Elephas maximus indicus: one gene and its partner. The protein of the gene in region 2 binds, or shares a complex with, the protein of the main gene of each other region. Links are inferred from orthologs where the notes say so. Each region holds a gene or a part of one and is shown on either strand. Other genes may lie near its edges.

Region 1 (7,690 bases), on a different chromosome or scaffold from region 2:
GGTAGAAGTCTGCTTTGAAGAACATGAGGAATCCTACTAGCGATCCCTGCTCTTCCCACCTCCTCCCATCCCTCCCACCCAAGAAAGTAGCCAAACACAGGATAGGAGTTTAAGTTTATTCTTGGAAAAACAAAGTCTCATCCTCCCACCACAGCCCAGGCAGGTTTTCCCAAGGGGCCCTGCCCCTCCAAATGGTCATCTCTCTTTTCTGATCCCAGGTTCCGTCTATAGCTGTCATGATGCCGCTACCTGGGTGAGGGGCTCCTCCAGGTACTGCACCAAGGCCTGAGCCTGCAAGAGGGGGAACAGTTATCAGTCCCACCCTGGCCTTCCACTAGAGCAATATGGGATCCAAGACCTATACCCCCCAATGCCATATGCTCTGAACACCCAGTCTCAGCCTCAGCCTCAGTCTGCTCCTGGGAGCTAGACCACACCAGGCATGGACTGGGTGGACATGGGAAGGCCCCAGAAAGGTAGTGAGGGTGGGAATGGACATGATGATAAAGCATGAAGGCTTGGCCCGGGGTTGTGGAGGGATGGGTGATGGGCGCATACACACCTTGGCCTTGAGCATTCCGAAGCCCACGGTCTCCTTGGCATACATACAAAGCAGAAGGTTGGCCACTCGGGTGATGGCCACTCGGCCCTCCTGGTGGGGGAGGGGATATAATGGGATGCGATGCTCTGCTTGGCACTCTCAGCCTCCTCCTTCCCAAAGGGCTCCTCTGGCCCTAGAGGGACTTATTTTCCTTGCACGCCCTGGGTACAGCAGGAGGTTCAACTGGGGGGCTTTGACTATAGCCCTGGACATGGGGTCCTGAGCCTGCGTTCTAGCCTCAGCACAGCCATCTTTTAACCAAGTTGCTCTGGGAAACTCACTTAATCTCCCAAAAACTTGGTTTCTCTTTCTATAATCCCTACCTCACTCCAGTTGGTGGGGGTGCCAGTATACACTAAGGAGTTTGTATCTGCAAAGGGCTGTCCAGATGGGAGATGTTATTATTATGGGCTCAACCCAAGACACTGTGAGGGAGTTGGGAGCAGTAACCCAACTTATATTTCTCTTCTTTTCCCTTAGTGATGCTTTGCAAACTGCAAGTTTGACTACAGGGTTAAGAGATCTATTTAAAAGGTTGATCCGCATTTATGGGGAAAAAAAAAAATGGAGGGAAGAGAAATGAAGAGCATTGCATGTGGTAAGGGAAGTACCATCTCCCGAAACTTTTGTTTCAGTGAGTGTGTGTACTAGGCTGTGACATAAAATGTATTTTTTATGACCAGGTTGTGGTTTAAAAAAAAAGTTTTGACAATCATTGCCGTATAGCACTAGCTGTGGACTAGGTACCCTAGGGGTCACCTGTTAAACTGAAATGACATTCAGAGGGTAGGAATGAAGCAGGTAGCCAAGCTACAGTGGAGACCCTTCCTAGAGAGTTCGCTCTTGGGGCCTATTTAATTTGGTTCAGCAAACCTTCAGTAGATACCCACTCTGGGCTGGGAGTCAGGTGCCTTTCCGGGGCTCATCTCCTACTACTCACCTATGCTCATGCCACTCCATCCCATTAGCCTTGTTGTTCCTTGACCAGGCATATTCTGCCTGAGGGCCTTTGCATTTGCTGTTCTGTCAGAAATGTTCTTCCCCAAGATAGCCACATGGCTTGCTTCCCAGCTTCCTTCAGATCTTCAATCAAATATTACCTTTTTAGTGAGATTGTCTCTGACACTATTTTGCTCCATAGCATTTTCACCACCTAACGTACTTACTGACTTCCTGAGGGCTGGGGTTTTTGTCTGTCCTGTTCACTACTTCCCTGCTATTCCCCCAAACACTGCAGAGACTTAGTAAATATTTGTTGAATAAGGAGATACAAAGGTAAGACAGTCCCTGCTCCTATGGAGTTCACAGTCTTAACAGCCACTTCCCCTTTCTGGACTTCATTTCCTTTCTCTGTAAACTAAAAGGGTTCTACTAGGGTCTGGAGACCCTGACAACTTTATGGTTTTGTGAGTCAGTGAACTTGGGATGACAACACCTTGAGTCTGCACATCCCTCTGTAGTTTATATCCATTCTTTAATTTGATCTTCAAAAGAACCCAGTAAGTTGGGCAAGGGTATGTGTGTTATTGTTTTCACCTTAAAGATGAGGAAGCTCAGAGAGGTCAAATGACTTACCCAAGGTCTCACAACTTTTAAGTGGCTGGCTGAGACCAGAACCCCAGTGAGTCCTCTGGCCCAGAACCCCTTCCTTACCACCACTTAATGAATAAGGTCCTGCCTCTTATAAATACTGCTGCAGATCACCTCTTAAGACTTGGAGATCCTGTTCCTGGCCCTCCAACCATCCAGGATGGGGTCTGGGTAGCCCCCTGGGGATCCCCTTGGGGGATAGAGGAAGCCAGGCTCCCCTTTCCATACCATGCAGTCCATGAGAATGAATTTGAGATTGTCTTCATTAAACGCTTGGTTCCCATTCCGGTCATAGGCGGCCCAGATGTTACTCGCGATGGCCGCGGTGACCCGGGCGTCCGTGTCTCCGTAACCCGAGTAGGCTAGCAGCGACCCCTCATTATTCAGCAGCCTGGCGAGGGATATCAACGTGCTTAGAGCAGGGGAAAAAAACGCCTGAGTTCCCACCCCAACTCCTGCAACTGGCGCTTCTAGGAAGCAAGGGTCTGGGCTGAGTATGTCCCGGAACCTGCACCAACACCCAGCACGCCAGCTTCCCTTTTCTAGAAAAGCCTCTCCCGGCGGGTTTCCCCAGATGCTGCCCACTGCTGCCTCTTTCCTTCCAGGCGATCCTTCCCCACCCCTCCCTTTGAGAGCCCCGCGCCGCTCAAGTCCTCAGTCCGCACTCACAGGGTGCTCTGGACGCCTCCAGTGTTGGCTTGGCTTAGCACCTGGGTCAAAGCCTTGGGGCGCAGCATGCCTGCAGCACCTAACCCAAGGCTTTTCCACTCAGATACCCTGGATTTCCTCCCGCTGGGCTCCGCCTGCCGCTCCCCGTAGCCCAGCTCCCCTGCCCCGAAACATCCTGGGAGTTGTAGTTTCTTGGCCTGGCTATTGTGGGTCTGCTTTAACTCCTTCCCACCGCGGAGGGCTCTGGGAATTGTAGTTCCTTGTTGCCTCGCGAGGCACCCTGGGAACTATAGTTTGCCTTTCCAGTCAGTCCACGAGGTTATGGGGGAAAAGAGCGGGAGTAAAAGGCCCTTGGAAGTACTGGAAGGACATTTAACCCCTTCGAAGAGAGAGAAGGCGTCATGTCCGCTTAGCAACCCACGATTCAATAATAATAACAATAGAATCCCTGTATTTGTCAAGCACACCTTTGGTTACTTTCCAAAGCAGTTTTCTATCTTATGCACGATTCTGTGGGATGAGGCTATAGGCATTATTAGCTTGAGGAAACCTAGGCTCAGAAAAGCCACCTAGGCAAAGGCCAGATCCCTGACACCGTATTTAACAGTCCTTCATTCGGGTCACGACCCTCGGGAGAACAGGGTCAATCCTAGATATGAGACCCTAGGCGGACGTCCAGAGGTGGGAAAAAATTCAACCTCCAAATCGAGCAAGAGAAGGCCTGGAAGGGATCTGGGCCTCTCAGGAAAAGCCAAGTTATCACAGGGCACAGTGATAAAGCGGCGACACAGAAAGTCCTTTGTCCCGGAGCGGGAGTTACCCGCGGAGGGGGCGGGGTCAGCCTTGGGCCAGACTGGACCGCGGCGCGGCTCGGGCCAGCTTGGGTGGGCGGTGGTCTCTCGCCCGGAACCCGCCCTCTGCTCCCCGCCCCGCGAGTGAAGGACACGCCCCGCTCCCGCCCAGAGCCCCATCCAGGGGCTACTACCCTGCAAGGCCCTGTCCAGGCTCCCGAACCCGGGGCTTGGCCCTGGGCGGGCCCGCTGCAGTGGTCCCCCCGGTCCGCCCGGGGCGCTGTGGCTGCGGCTGGTCCGGAGGGGGCGGTGAAGCCTTGGGGAGGGGAGGGGAGTGTTGGAGGCGCCCGAGCCGAGCCGGACCGGCCGGGCGGGGAAGAGGAGGAGGAGGAGCCGGGGCGGGCTGGCGGGCGGCCGGGTGGTGGCGGCGGCGGCGGCGGCATGGCGGAGCCGAGCGGGGCCGAGACGAGGCCCCCCATTCGGGTCACCGTCAAGACCCCCAAGGACAAGGAGGAAATTGTGATCTGCGATCGAGCCTCGGTCAAGGAGGTAGTACGGCTGGCGGGGACCGAGCGCGGAGGAGGGGGGTCTGTGAGGAGATGTGGGGGTCTCTGAGAGACTGTCGGGACCACCAGGAGGGCCCTGGAGAGAAGAGCAGGGGGTCAGCAGGGACCCCAAGGAGCGGGAAGGAAGGAGAGGCGGGTAGGGGGCGCCCTGCAAAGGGTAGATCCGGGGGAGCATGGCGCGCGCGCGTGGGGGGGGCCCGGGGTTTGCCTTGTGGCCAGGGCTGGGGGCGTGGTGGAGAGTGAAGAGGGGGCACCTTGCACCGGGAAAAGGGAATGACCCTGGGTTTGAGGGGAGTGTGCGCTCGGGTGACCAGTCGGGGTTCGAGGCGCCAAGGCTGAGCGGGGGGCACCGGCAAGGTGCTGAGCCAGAAGGGGCCAGGGCGCAAGCCGAGAGCGCCAGGCGCCTTCTGTATGCCTCCCAGGACTCCCAGCGTTTTGGGTGAAAACCTGCGGCGGTGGGGAGAGGATTTTCCTCTGCCCAGATCCTTTCTACTCTCAAATTGAGGTGATTTCTTTTGATTCTCAGCTCCTCAGGTTTTTACGCAGTGTGCAGTAGGTGCTCAATAAACAATTGTTGAAATATAGAATATCGCTTGTGTTCTTCACCCCCAGTGGCTGCTCCAAAATTTCACATAGGCGGGGCTTAAGATAGGCTTTCTGGTTGGAAGAGGAGTCTTAACTGTCTTTGCTTAGCAAGTGCACTGTTTTTACTTGAGTGTTTTTTTTTTAGTGGGAGGGGCTGATAGAGTTTGGGGATTCTAGGTCTCCCTCAGGCAGCCCTTGGTGCCACCACTGCCTCCCAACCTTATAAAACCACTCCATTCCAGAATTTAAATCCTTTTCCCTGCACAGCTGAATTTGAAATCAGCTCCAATTGAGAGGCAGTGTGTCTGAACGGTTAAGAGCCTGGTCAAAGCCCAATTCCCATTCTGCTCAGGATAAATTACTTAACCTCGCTGATCCTCAAATTTCTCGTCTCTAAAATGGAGCTAGTCATTAGTACGTATCTTATGGGACTTAGACGGTTAAGTGGTGAGTAGTAAATATTCAATGACTGGGATCTATTTGTTGTAGTTCAGGAACGCTGAACTGAGCAGAAACTGAGACTAAGCGGAGGAGGGAAACTTGAGGTCTGAGAAGAAAAAACTGAAGGAAGACAGTCTGGGTCCAAGGCTGTTTAAGGAATTGGGATGAGGAGGGCTGCCCAGGCAGCACCCTCACAGGAAGCTGGGTGGACAGACTGGAGGTGGGATGGCAGATAGCAGCAAGGACTTTCTAGGGTAGAAGACCCTGGGATGGAACTGAGAGAGGAGCCTCTCAATAATCCATCTCCTTGGGTAAGAAAGGAGCTGTTTATTGCAGCTTGAGACTGAAGAAAGGACTTCCCATGACTAGAGGTGGGAGCAAGGGAATGCAAAAGCTCTTAAAGAAGAGGCAGGGTCCCTAGTGGGTGGAGCCCAGGCACCCTCCACAAGGACCTCTGTCTCTTGATCCCAGTTCAAAGAGGAAATCTCCCGGAGGTTTAAGGCCCAGCAGGACCAGCTCGTCTTGATCTTTGCCGGCAAGATCCTCAAGGATGGGGACACACTGAACCAGCATGGGATCAAGGATGGGCTCACTGTCCATCTGGTCATCAAGACCCCTCAGAAGTAAGTTCAGGAGATAAGCAGGCCCAGCTTCTGATTGGGCCTCTCACTTCCACATCTGAGGCTTTCTCACCCATCAGCTCATCCGAACCTAGAGGGCCTATGCCAAGGCCTGGGAAGGTGGCTCCTGGATGAATTTTCAGGCAGGCTATAATCTCACCTCCGAAGGGATCCTGATTTACCCCTCCCAGAATGCCCTGAAGACAGATAATACTAGCTCCGCCCTCACTCCCTAGTTTACTGACCTCCCCTTCCCCTCCCTCTTCCTGCCTGAGGGTCATAGTTAGGGTAGTAACTGCCCAGCCAAGAAAGAGCAGTCTGATCTTTGTGGTGCCTTCCTTGTTCTTGGGGTGTATACTCCAACCAGGATTCTCCTTTCTCTGTCCTCAGGGTTCAAGATCCGGCTGCTACCACTGCTTCTTCCCCCTCCACTCCTGACCCTGCCTCTGCACCCTCCACCATGCCTGCTTCACCCGCCACCCCTGCCCAGCCCTCCACCTCTGGCAGCACCACTTCAGATGCTGGCAGTGGAAGCCGGAGGAGCAGTGGGGGGGGGCCCTCCCCAGGGGCTGGGGAGGGACCCCCCAGTGCAACTGCATCCATACTCTGTAAGCCCCTAGAAAGGAGAACACAGTGCTGTTTTGGTTTGGGAGTTGGGGAGAGTCAAGAGGAGGGAGAAATATGGTCCCTGATCCTGGTCTGATAGGGTAGGTGACCCCTGGACACAGGGCTCTAAACACTGGTATTTGAGCCAAACCAGGGAGGAGACTACTCTGTGAGGGCTTCCTGGAGGAGGGGAAGTATTAAGAGTGAGGGGAGAAATGGGGCTGGGGACGTGGGGAACCCTGGGTGAGGATATTAAAAGAACCTGTGAGTTTGGAGAAATGATAGGCCCAGCAGGAGCCAGGATAGGGAATATTTATTTACTTAGACTGTCACTGATTGCCCGCTCTTTGCTAGGTGCTGTGCTCAGCTCTGGGGTAGCCTAAGCCTCTGCAGTCCAAGAGGTCTCAGTCTAATGGCTCTTCGCGTGGATCAGGGCTAGGCTGTGGGAGTAAGTGGAAAAGGGAGCTGTGAGAAGCAGAGAAAAGATTGGGCCCACCCTGGAGATCTGTATTCAGTACCTTTGGCCAGGTAGGGGAAAGGCCACTTGAGTAGAATGTGACCCTGTCCCCTCCCCACAGCTGGCTTTGGGGGCATCCTGGGGCTGGGCAGCCTGGGCCTGGGCTCTGCCAACTTCATGGAGCTGCAGCAGCAGATGCAGAGGCAGCTGATGTCCAACCCTGAGATGCTGTCGCAGATCATGGAGAACCCCCTGGTCCAGGACATGATGTCTAACCCTGACCTGATGCGCCACATGATCATGGCCAACCCCCAGATGCAGCAGCTGATGGAGCGGAACCCTGAGATCAGCCATATGCTCAACAATCCTGAGCTCATGAGGCAGGTGGGTACAAGAGAAGGTCAGGTAGTTGATGAACACCTGGAGCCCAGCCTTGCCCTGCCCAGCCTTTTCCTACCTTGTACTACATTAATTTGTTTATTCATCCGTTCAGCAGCCATGGTTAAACAGTGGGGGTACAGTGACGAAAAGACACAGGCCTAGCTTTCTTGGCGGGAAGTGGGACAGGTTAACAGGCAATTATAATATAGTGTGGTAGGTGCTATTATAGTGATAATCACAGAATCCTCCTAGGAGCCCAGAGAAGGGCAGGAGGCCTCTTGGAAGAAGTATCATCCAGGCTGAGACCCAAAGGAGGAGAACAATGAACGAAGGGAAGAAAATGAGAAGAGTGTTAAGGGCAGAGGGACAGCAAGTGCAAAGGC
Region 2 (7,106 bases):
TGGACCCAATCCACATTCTCCGACCCTCCCCTCTCGCAGGGTCAGATGTCAATGGGCTCCCGGCCTCGGTTCTGCCTCTTCACCACAAACACCCTCTGTCCTGACACGGTCACCAGCAGCGTGTGTTCTCCAAAGACCACTGGAGGAGAGACGCCCCAGGAGAGGGAAGGGAGCACAGGGTTAGTGTGGTGCGATGGCCTCCATGGGATCACAGAAGTTGGCTGATACCAAAAGCCAAAGAAATTCTATAGTTCAAGGCTCAAAAGATGAGAGGCCTCCAATAAGTCCCCTTCTTGCTCATATCAACTCTGGTCCAGGGGAGGGGACCTCAAAGGGAAGAAAGTGGCCAGAACCAGCGACCCCAGGAGGCGATGACAGAAGAGTTGGTAGGAGATAGTCTTTTTTCCCTGAGAAGCAGCAGCCTTTGGGAGAAGCCCCCTTCCCCCCACACCACCAGGGCAGAGATGGGGGCTCACCTGACAGGCGTTTGAAGGGTATGTTCATGCCCGGGTGCAGCCGGAAACCACAAGCGGTGCTGACCAGCTCAGAAATGGCGCTGGCTGCCTGCTCGTCATTCTCTAGATCCCCAGACGACTGCACGCAGGTGGGAGGGAGGAGGGCAGAAATGAGGGAAGAGAATTGGGAAGGAATTCCAGGCAGTCACTTTGTCTCTAGTGTGTGGAACCTCTCCCTCTTCACTTTGCAAGATTCCTAGGTTACCCCAGTTCTGGAAAAACAACTAAAACCTTCCTTGGTGTTATAGCTTCCTCTTTGTGTCATCCTATTTCTCATTCTTATAATACTGGGCTTCCCCTGATGATTCTTCATCCATTTCTTTACTGACCATTCTTTCCTAGCCCCTTGGAAATTGACTTTGTTCCCTGTCCCCAAGTATTTGATAAAACTACATTCTCGAAAACCAATACTCAGCCCTGAAAATGACCACTGAATTGTTAGAAGATCCGTCTTTTCTGTCTTCCCATTTACTGCCCTGTTTGCAGAATCTGGAGCACAACCATCCCCTTTGTCCTGACATCTCTCCCTACTACCCAGACCTTGGGTCAGTGCTGTGACAGTGGCCTGGGCTTCCTCTTTTTCTGGTGACTATCTCAACTTCCTCTCCCACCTCCTTGATATGGGCCTCCCACTAAGTTAAGTTTACTGCACTTCGCTCCCTTGGACATTCTATACTCCAGTTCTCTCATCTGCAAACTGGGAACAATACAGTACCTTATAAACTTATTATGAAGATTAAATAATATTGGCAAGATGCTTAGAACAGCTCCTACCATTTACATTAACTGCTGTTATTCCACACCAAACTCAATGTTTAAAGTCAAAACATGGAATTCCCTGTACTTCCCACCCTCCCCAATCAACTTCCTTTCTTCATTTCCTGTTTGTTGAGGCACCATCATTCTTCCAGGTTTATGAGTTCAAAGCCTTACTAGATGGAGAAGTATCTCCTCCATTACCTATATCTAGTCATTCCTCCTCTAAATTTATTTTCTCGCTCCTCATTGCCACCAGCCCAGTCTCATACCTAGTTTACTGCCCAGTCTTGAAAATTCATCACCCCCTACTCCATCTTCACACTGCTAACAGAAAAATCTCGCTAAAGCATTTCATCAGGTAGTGTTCCCGTTCAAAAGCCTTCAATAGCTCCTTACTACCTTCAAGATTAAGTCCAAATGTACAAATCTGGCTTTGAAAGTCCTCCACAATCTGGTCCTTTCTTTACAATATCCTTTTCTTCCCCCAAACCTTTCCAAATCTTCTCCATGTGACACCCACCAAATCAGACAGGTTGGTGTCACACACCTGCAAATATGTCCACTTCCCAGCCCCAAAGAACTCTCTTCCTCTTCACAACTACCCATCCTGGATTTCTACCTCCAAGACAGTTTCCTTACCATAACACAAGTTATTACATAATATAACATGAAGGGTTGATTTCATCAGTAGTCTTTACCACTCACCCTGCTTTCAACTTTTAACCTTTTAAGCATTGTTTCTTTAGCTAAATTGAAAACTTCTAGAAAGCTAACACTATATTGTACTATGGAACAAAATACAAAGCCTAGTCAATAAATACCAAATACATACTTGAGAATAACTCAGGTAATATCAGTTACCAACAAACTTGTGACCCTTAATAGAGTTAGTAAGCCTCTTTTATCTCAGGAAAGTTGGAGACGGATTACTGAAACTTACTATACACTAGGCGTGCTACTAGGTGATAACAAAGAATAGAGACAAATTCGGGTAAAATGGGCAATACTGTAAGAGATGATGGACGATGTGTTCTTAGGGGATCCCCTCCCTTCCCCAGAACGCACCGCCAACACTGCGCCTTCACTCAGCACCAAGTAGCCAAGCTGGTCTGGGATTCGCTCCAGCCCCTGGGTCAGTGCAGAAGTCTAGTGGTTAAAGGAGCAATCAGTGAGAAGCACGCCAGGAAGGTGGCCCTCGACACCCGTGACCTGCAAACCCAAGGCCCTCTCTTGATGACAGTCCCCCAGGCCTTCTCTTCCCCAGCCAGGACCCTTCCCTCTACCTGGCCTCAAACACTGAGCTTTCCCTTGCCTTCTGTGCCTCCGTCTGTCCTCTCTATCTCCCTCTGCCCGTGGGCTCCCTCGGCCTCTCACATCCTACCTTTGATGTGATACCCCAGTATGTCTTCACAGCCCCACTGGTCCCTCACATCAGACCCTCCAACTCCCCTCGTGCCCCGCCCCTCCAGCACTCTCTGTCCTTAGTCCCTCCCGTCTCCACTCTTCCAGTCCCGGGGTGGCTTGCGGTGAAGGTGGGGTGCAGGCCCAGGAAGGGGCAACCAAGAAGGTTGGGGGACTGGAACGCGGAACCCCCAGCGCGTACTCCCGCGCATGCGTCCTCACTCACCATCGCAAGCTTTAGGTGCTGGGGGCACTCCCTACCAGAGGGGCAGCTTCCTAACCGAGTCCCAGATCACGTGCTTCCTGCGCGGCGCCGCCGCACTTCGGCCCCGCCCCCAGCATGACTGGAGCATGGGCTACATCATCAGACCGAATCTACCAGTGAGAAGCGCCGTTTTGCGAAGACGCGCGCGGATTGGTCACGTACCCTCTTTAACACCCGTATCCCGCCCCTCAGAGCTTGAACGCCAGGAGGAGGGGGAAGTGTGTGTAGGGGTTAGAGGAGCGGGGAAGGCCCTGGAGCGGGTAGGGCTGAGATTGCGCGAAGGAGGGCTCACGGGGTAAAATCTGGGTTTGGCTTCCTAGAGTGCGACCCGAAGCGAAAACATTTATTGGGTTTCAGATTTCTTCACCCTAAAAGGAGATAATAAAATAAAATCATGCTTCTGAAACCTATTCAAAATGGTATTCTTATGCCTACTCTAGGCAACTGGGATGCTCAAAGTGGTGCCCCCCCGCCCCATACAGCCAACAGAAAATACTGCATATTCTCTGCCCAGAAAAATTAGTAACAGGACCTTGGAGCGAGGTATCTTCATATATCACAAAATGCTAGGAGCCCTGGTGGTGCACTGGTTAAATACTTGGCTGCTAATCAAAAGTTTGCTGTTCAAACCCACCTGCCATTCTGCAGCAGAAAGATGTGGCAGTCTGCTTCCAAAGATTTACAGCCTTGGAGACCCTATGAGGCAGTTCTACTCTATGCTATAGGGTCGCTATGTGTTGGAATGGACTAAACAGCAACGGGTGTTTTGGTTTTATCACAAGATATGTGTAAACATAGGAATAGACACTTTCCAGAGCTGCTGCAATACTAAAGGGACTAAGGCAGTGTTGGTGAGGTAAAATAAAGATAATTCCAGAGATAATAAGTACTTGTAAAGAAATCGGAACCTTCATACACTGCTGGTGGGAATGTAAAATGGTGCAGCCACTGTGGAAAACAGTCTGTCAACTCCTCAAAATGTTAAAAATATAATTATAATATTGTTACATCCCACTGAGTCGAATTCTACTCACAGTGACCCTATATGACAGAGTCGAACTGCCCCCATAGGATTTCCTAGCCTATAATCTTTATGGGAGCAGATCGACAGTTATTTTCTCCCGTGAACTTGTTGGCGGGCTCAAGCCACTTACCCTTTGGTTTTATCAGCCAAATGTTTAACCATTGTGCCACGAGGGCTCCTCATCAAACCACACCAAACTTACTGCCTTCCAGTTGTTTATGACTCAACGCGAACCTATAGGACAGAGTAGAGCTGCCCCATAGGGTTCCCAAGGCTGTAAATCTTTAGGAAAGCAGACTGCCACATCTTTCTCCCTCAGAGCTGCTGGTGGGTTTGAATCACTGACCTTTTGGTTAGCAGCAAAGCACTTTAACCACTACACCACGAGGACTCCTTAGGGCTCCTCATAGGACCCAGCAATTCTGTTCTTAGGTATATCTCAGGAGAATTTGAAAACATGTTCACGCAAAAACTTACACATGAGTGTTCATAGCAGCATTATTCATACTAGCCAAAAAGTAGAAGCAATCCAAATAGCCATTTACTTATGAAAGAATAAATAAAATGTGGTATATGCATACAATTGAATATTGTTTAGCCATAAAAAAGAATGAAAGGATCCTGAGGTTCACCCTTCAGCCAAAGATTAGACAGGCCCATAAAACAAAACAAGACTAAAGGGTCACATCAACCCAGAGGCAAGGACTAGAAGGCAGGAGACACGAAAGCTGGTAATAAGGAACCCAAGGTCAAGAAGGGAGAGTGTTGACATGTCGTGGGGTTGGTAACCAACATCACAAAACAATATATGTACTAGTTGCTTAATGAGAAGCAAGTTTGTTCTGTAAACCTTCATTTAAATACGATAATTAAAAAAAAAGAGAGAGAGAAAAGAATGGAAGGAGCCCTGGCGGTACAAATGGTTAAGCACTCGACTGCTAACCATAAAGGTTGGAAGTTCAAACCCACTCAGCAGCTCTGAAGGAGAAAGACCTGGCAATCTGCTTCAGTAAAGATGACAGCCAAGAACACCCTATGGGGCAGTTCTACTCGTCACATGGGGTGGCTATGAGTTGGAATTGACTGGACAGCACCTAACAATAACAACAACAAAAGAAGTGAAGTACTGATATATGCTACAATGTGGTCGAACCTTGAAAACATGCTAAATGAAAGAAACCAGACAAAGGAAGCCATGTGATTCCATTTATACGAAATACCCAGAATAAGCAAATACATAGAGACAGAAAGCAGATTAGTGGTTTCCAGGGGCTGGTGACTGCTCTTTGGGAAAAAGAAGTGGCTGTCTGCTTCCACAAAGATTTATAGCCTTGGAAATCTTATGGGGTAGTTCTATTCTGTCCTGTAGTGTGGCTATGAGTCAAAATTGACTAGATAACAATGGGTAGGGATTGATGGGACAGAGAATGGGGAGTGACTGTTAATGGGTACAGGGCTTTTTTGGGAGGTGATAAAAATGTTCTGGGATTATAGACTGGTAATGGTTGCATAGCCTAGTGAACATACTAAAATCCACTGAATTGTACACTTTGAAATGGCAAATTATATCTCAATAAAAAAAATAAGTACTGTTGCTTGAGGAGAAACAGCTAATTAGAGAAGGTGGATGCCTTTACAAAAATGAGAGAAGATCTAAATTTAAATTATAAAATTTAAACTGGAAGGGGATGTAGAGAGAGAAAATTCCGTGGAGACACTTAATTTACAAGACCTTCCTGGCCTTAAAAATCACTGGGTGGCACCAGGGTTGGATTACCTAATAAGCAAGGTAAGCACGTGCTTAGGGCATCAACAAAACAGGGGTACCAGTTGTCCAAAGCAAAGATCTGTAATGCTAAGCAGACAGGGCACAAGGAAAAGCAAGTGCTGCAGTGGAAGGGAACTGGCAGTGCACTAAATGAAATTGATACCATTTTATAAATTTTGTGTACAATAACAATCATATTTTCTTTTCATTTCGCATCAATTGGGTATAACCCCATATTCAATTCTCGTGGACCACATAAGAACGTGTCAGTCGCACAATAATCACGTGACTCATGACGTATCCAGTCCCACAAAGTTAACCAAAACACTTCTTCAGATTGAGCATACCCTTGTAGTTGTATCATGCTCTTTGCGATTGCTCTCGCCCTGGTTGGGTATCAGTAGTAGTCCAATGAACATGAAGACGCAGCATCAAAGTAGAAAAAGTAAGCATGCACGTTTTTAAGTGTTATTTCAAGGGGAAAAACACTTGTGGAGATCTGGAGAGGGCCTGCCAACAAACATTGTATGACAAACGAATGAAATTACTTCCTATTGCCTTGTAAGTACTATTTCTTTTGACTCAGACCTGAAGAACAAAATTACATGTTCCAAATCAATTGTTTTACCTATTTTCAAATATAAATTTTTGTGTTAATGTCCAAATTCGTATGTAAAATTTATTTTATAAATAAATATAAATTTCACTTGTTTTATAAGTTTTATTTATTGTCAGTTATTCATATTTATTTGCTGTGTTAGAACCAAATTTCAAAAGTGACATAATTTTATATCCAGGTAAAATGAAATGGCAACAACTAAGTGGAGTGCAAAAATGAAAGCTCACAGATGATAGAAAGAAAAGGATTTGTGAATCCCTAAAAACAAGTCCAAAATTAACTTCCTTTTAAAAATGTAATGAATTAGTAGAGACTTCTTCTGTTGAATACTCAAGCTTAATGGGTGCAAATCATTGTAGTAGTACCGGCAGTGCTGAAATTACTAATAGCAATATGAATATGAAAGAGTTTGTTCCAAATTCTGCATCCATTCCCTCTCACCTTGGCCCTGCACCCCTTCCTGATGGGCTGTGCTGTGCTACCTGGTGAAAGAGACATCAGTTTGCTGCCACCCAATTCTGCTCCATCTCCAACTGCCACCACCACCACCATCATATTTTTTGTTGTTGTTCTTTTTATTTATTTATTATATTTGTTTCTCTGATTGTTGGTGTCTTCTGTCTCCTTCCCCTCTTTCCATTCCTTTCTCCCATCCACCTAGCCCCATGTGCCACCCACACCACTTCTCAACAGGTTGAGCCATACTACTCAGGTAGAGCGCCACCAGCACATAGCCTCGCTGGGTCTGCCCCACC

The links. Proteins that work in one complex are often made in the same cells at the same time.
Region 1: LAMTOR4 (region 2) and LAMTOR2 share a complex: the UniProt entries of both Homo sapiens proteins name them as parts of the ragulator complex. The link is inferred for Elephas maximus indicus from reciprocal best matches to the Homo sapiens genes LAMTOR4 and LAMTOR2.

The regions. Positions count from the first base shown.
Region 1 is NC_064821.1:193,862,167-193,869,856, reverse strand, and holds LAMTOR2 (ragulator complex protein LAMTOR2), read right to left. Parts: upstream 3,018-7,690; 5' UTR 2,929-3,017; coding exon 2,861-2,928; intron 2,583-2,860; coding exon 2,420-2,582; intron 653-2,419; coding exon 563-652; intron 292-562; coding exon 235-291; 3' UTR 109-234; downstream 1-108. Other genes in the region: UBQLN4 (ubiquilin-4), read left to right, coding at 4,093-4,200, 5,715-5,866, 6,254-6,471, 7,048-7,310. UniProt on the Homo sapiens protein: As part of the Ragulator complex it is involved in amino acid sensing and activation of mTORC1, a signaling complex promoting cell growth in response to growth factors, energy levels, and amino acids.
Region 2 is NC_064830.1:91,691,951-91,699,056, reverse strand, and holds the start of LAMTOR4 (ragulator complex protein LAMTOR4), read right to left. Parts: upstream 3,002-7,106; 5' UTR 2,905-3,001; coding exon 2,902-2,904; intron 2,421-2,901; coding exon 2,340-2,420; intron 595-2,339; coding exon 477-594; intron 140-476; coding exon 42-139; 3' UTR 1-41. UniProt on the Homo sapiens protein: As part of the Ragulator complex it is involved in amino acid sensing and activation of mTORC1, a signaling complex promoting cell growth in response to growth factors, energy levels, and amino acids.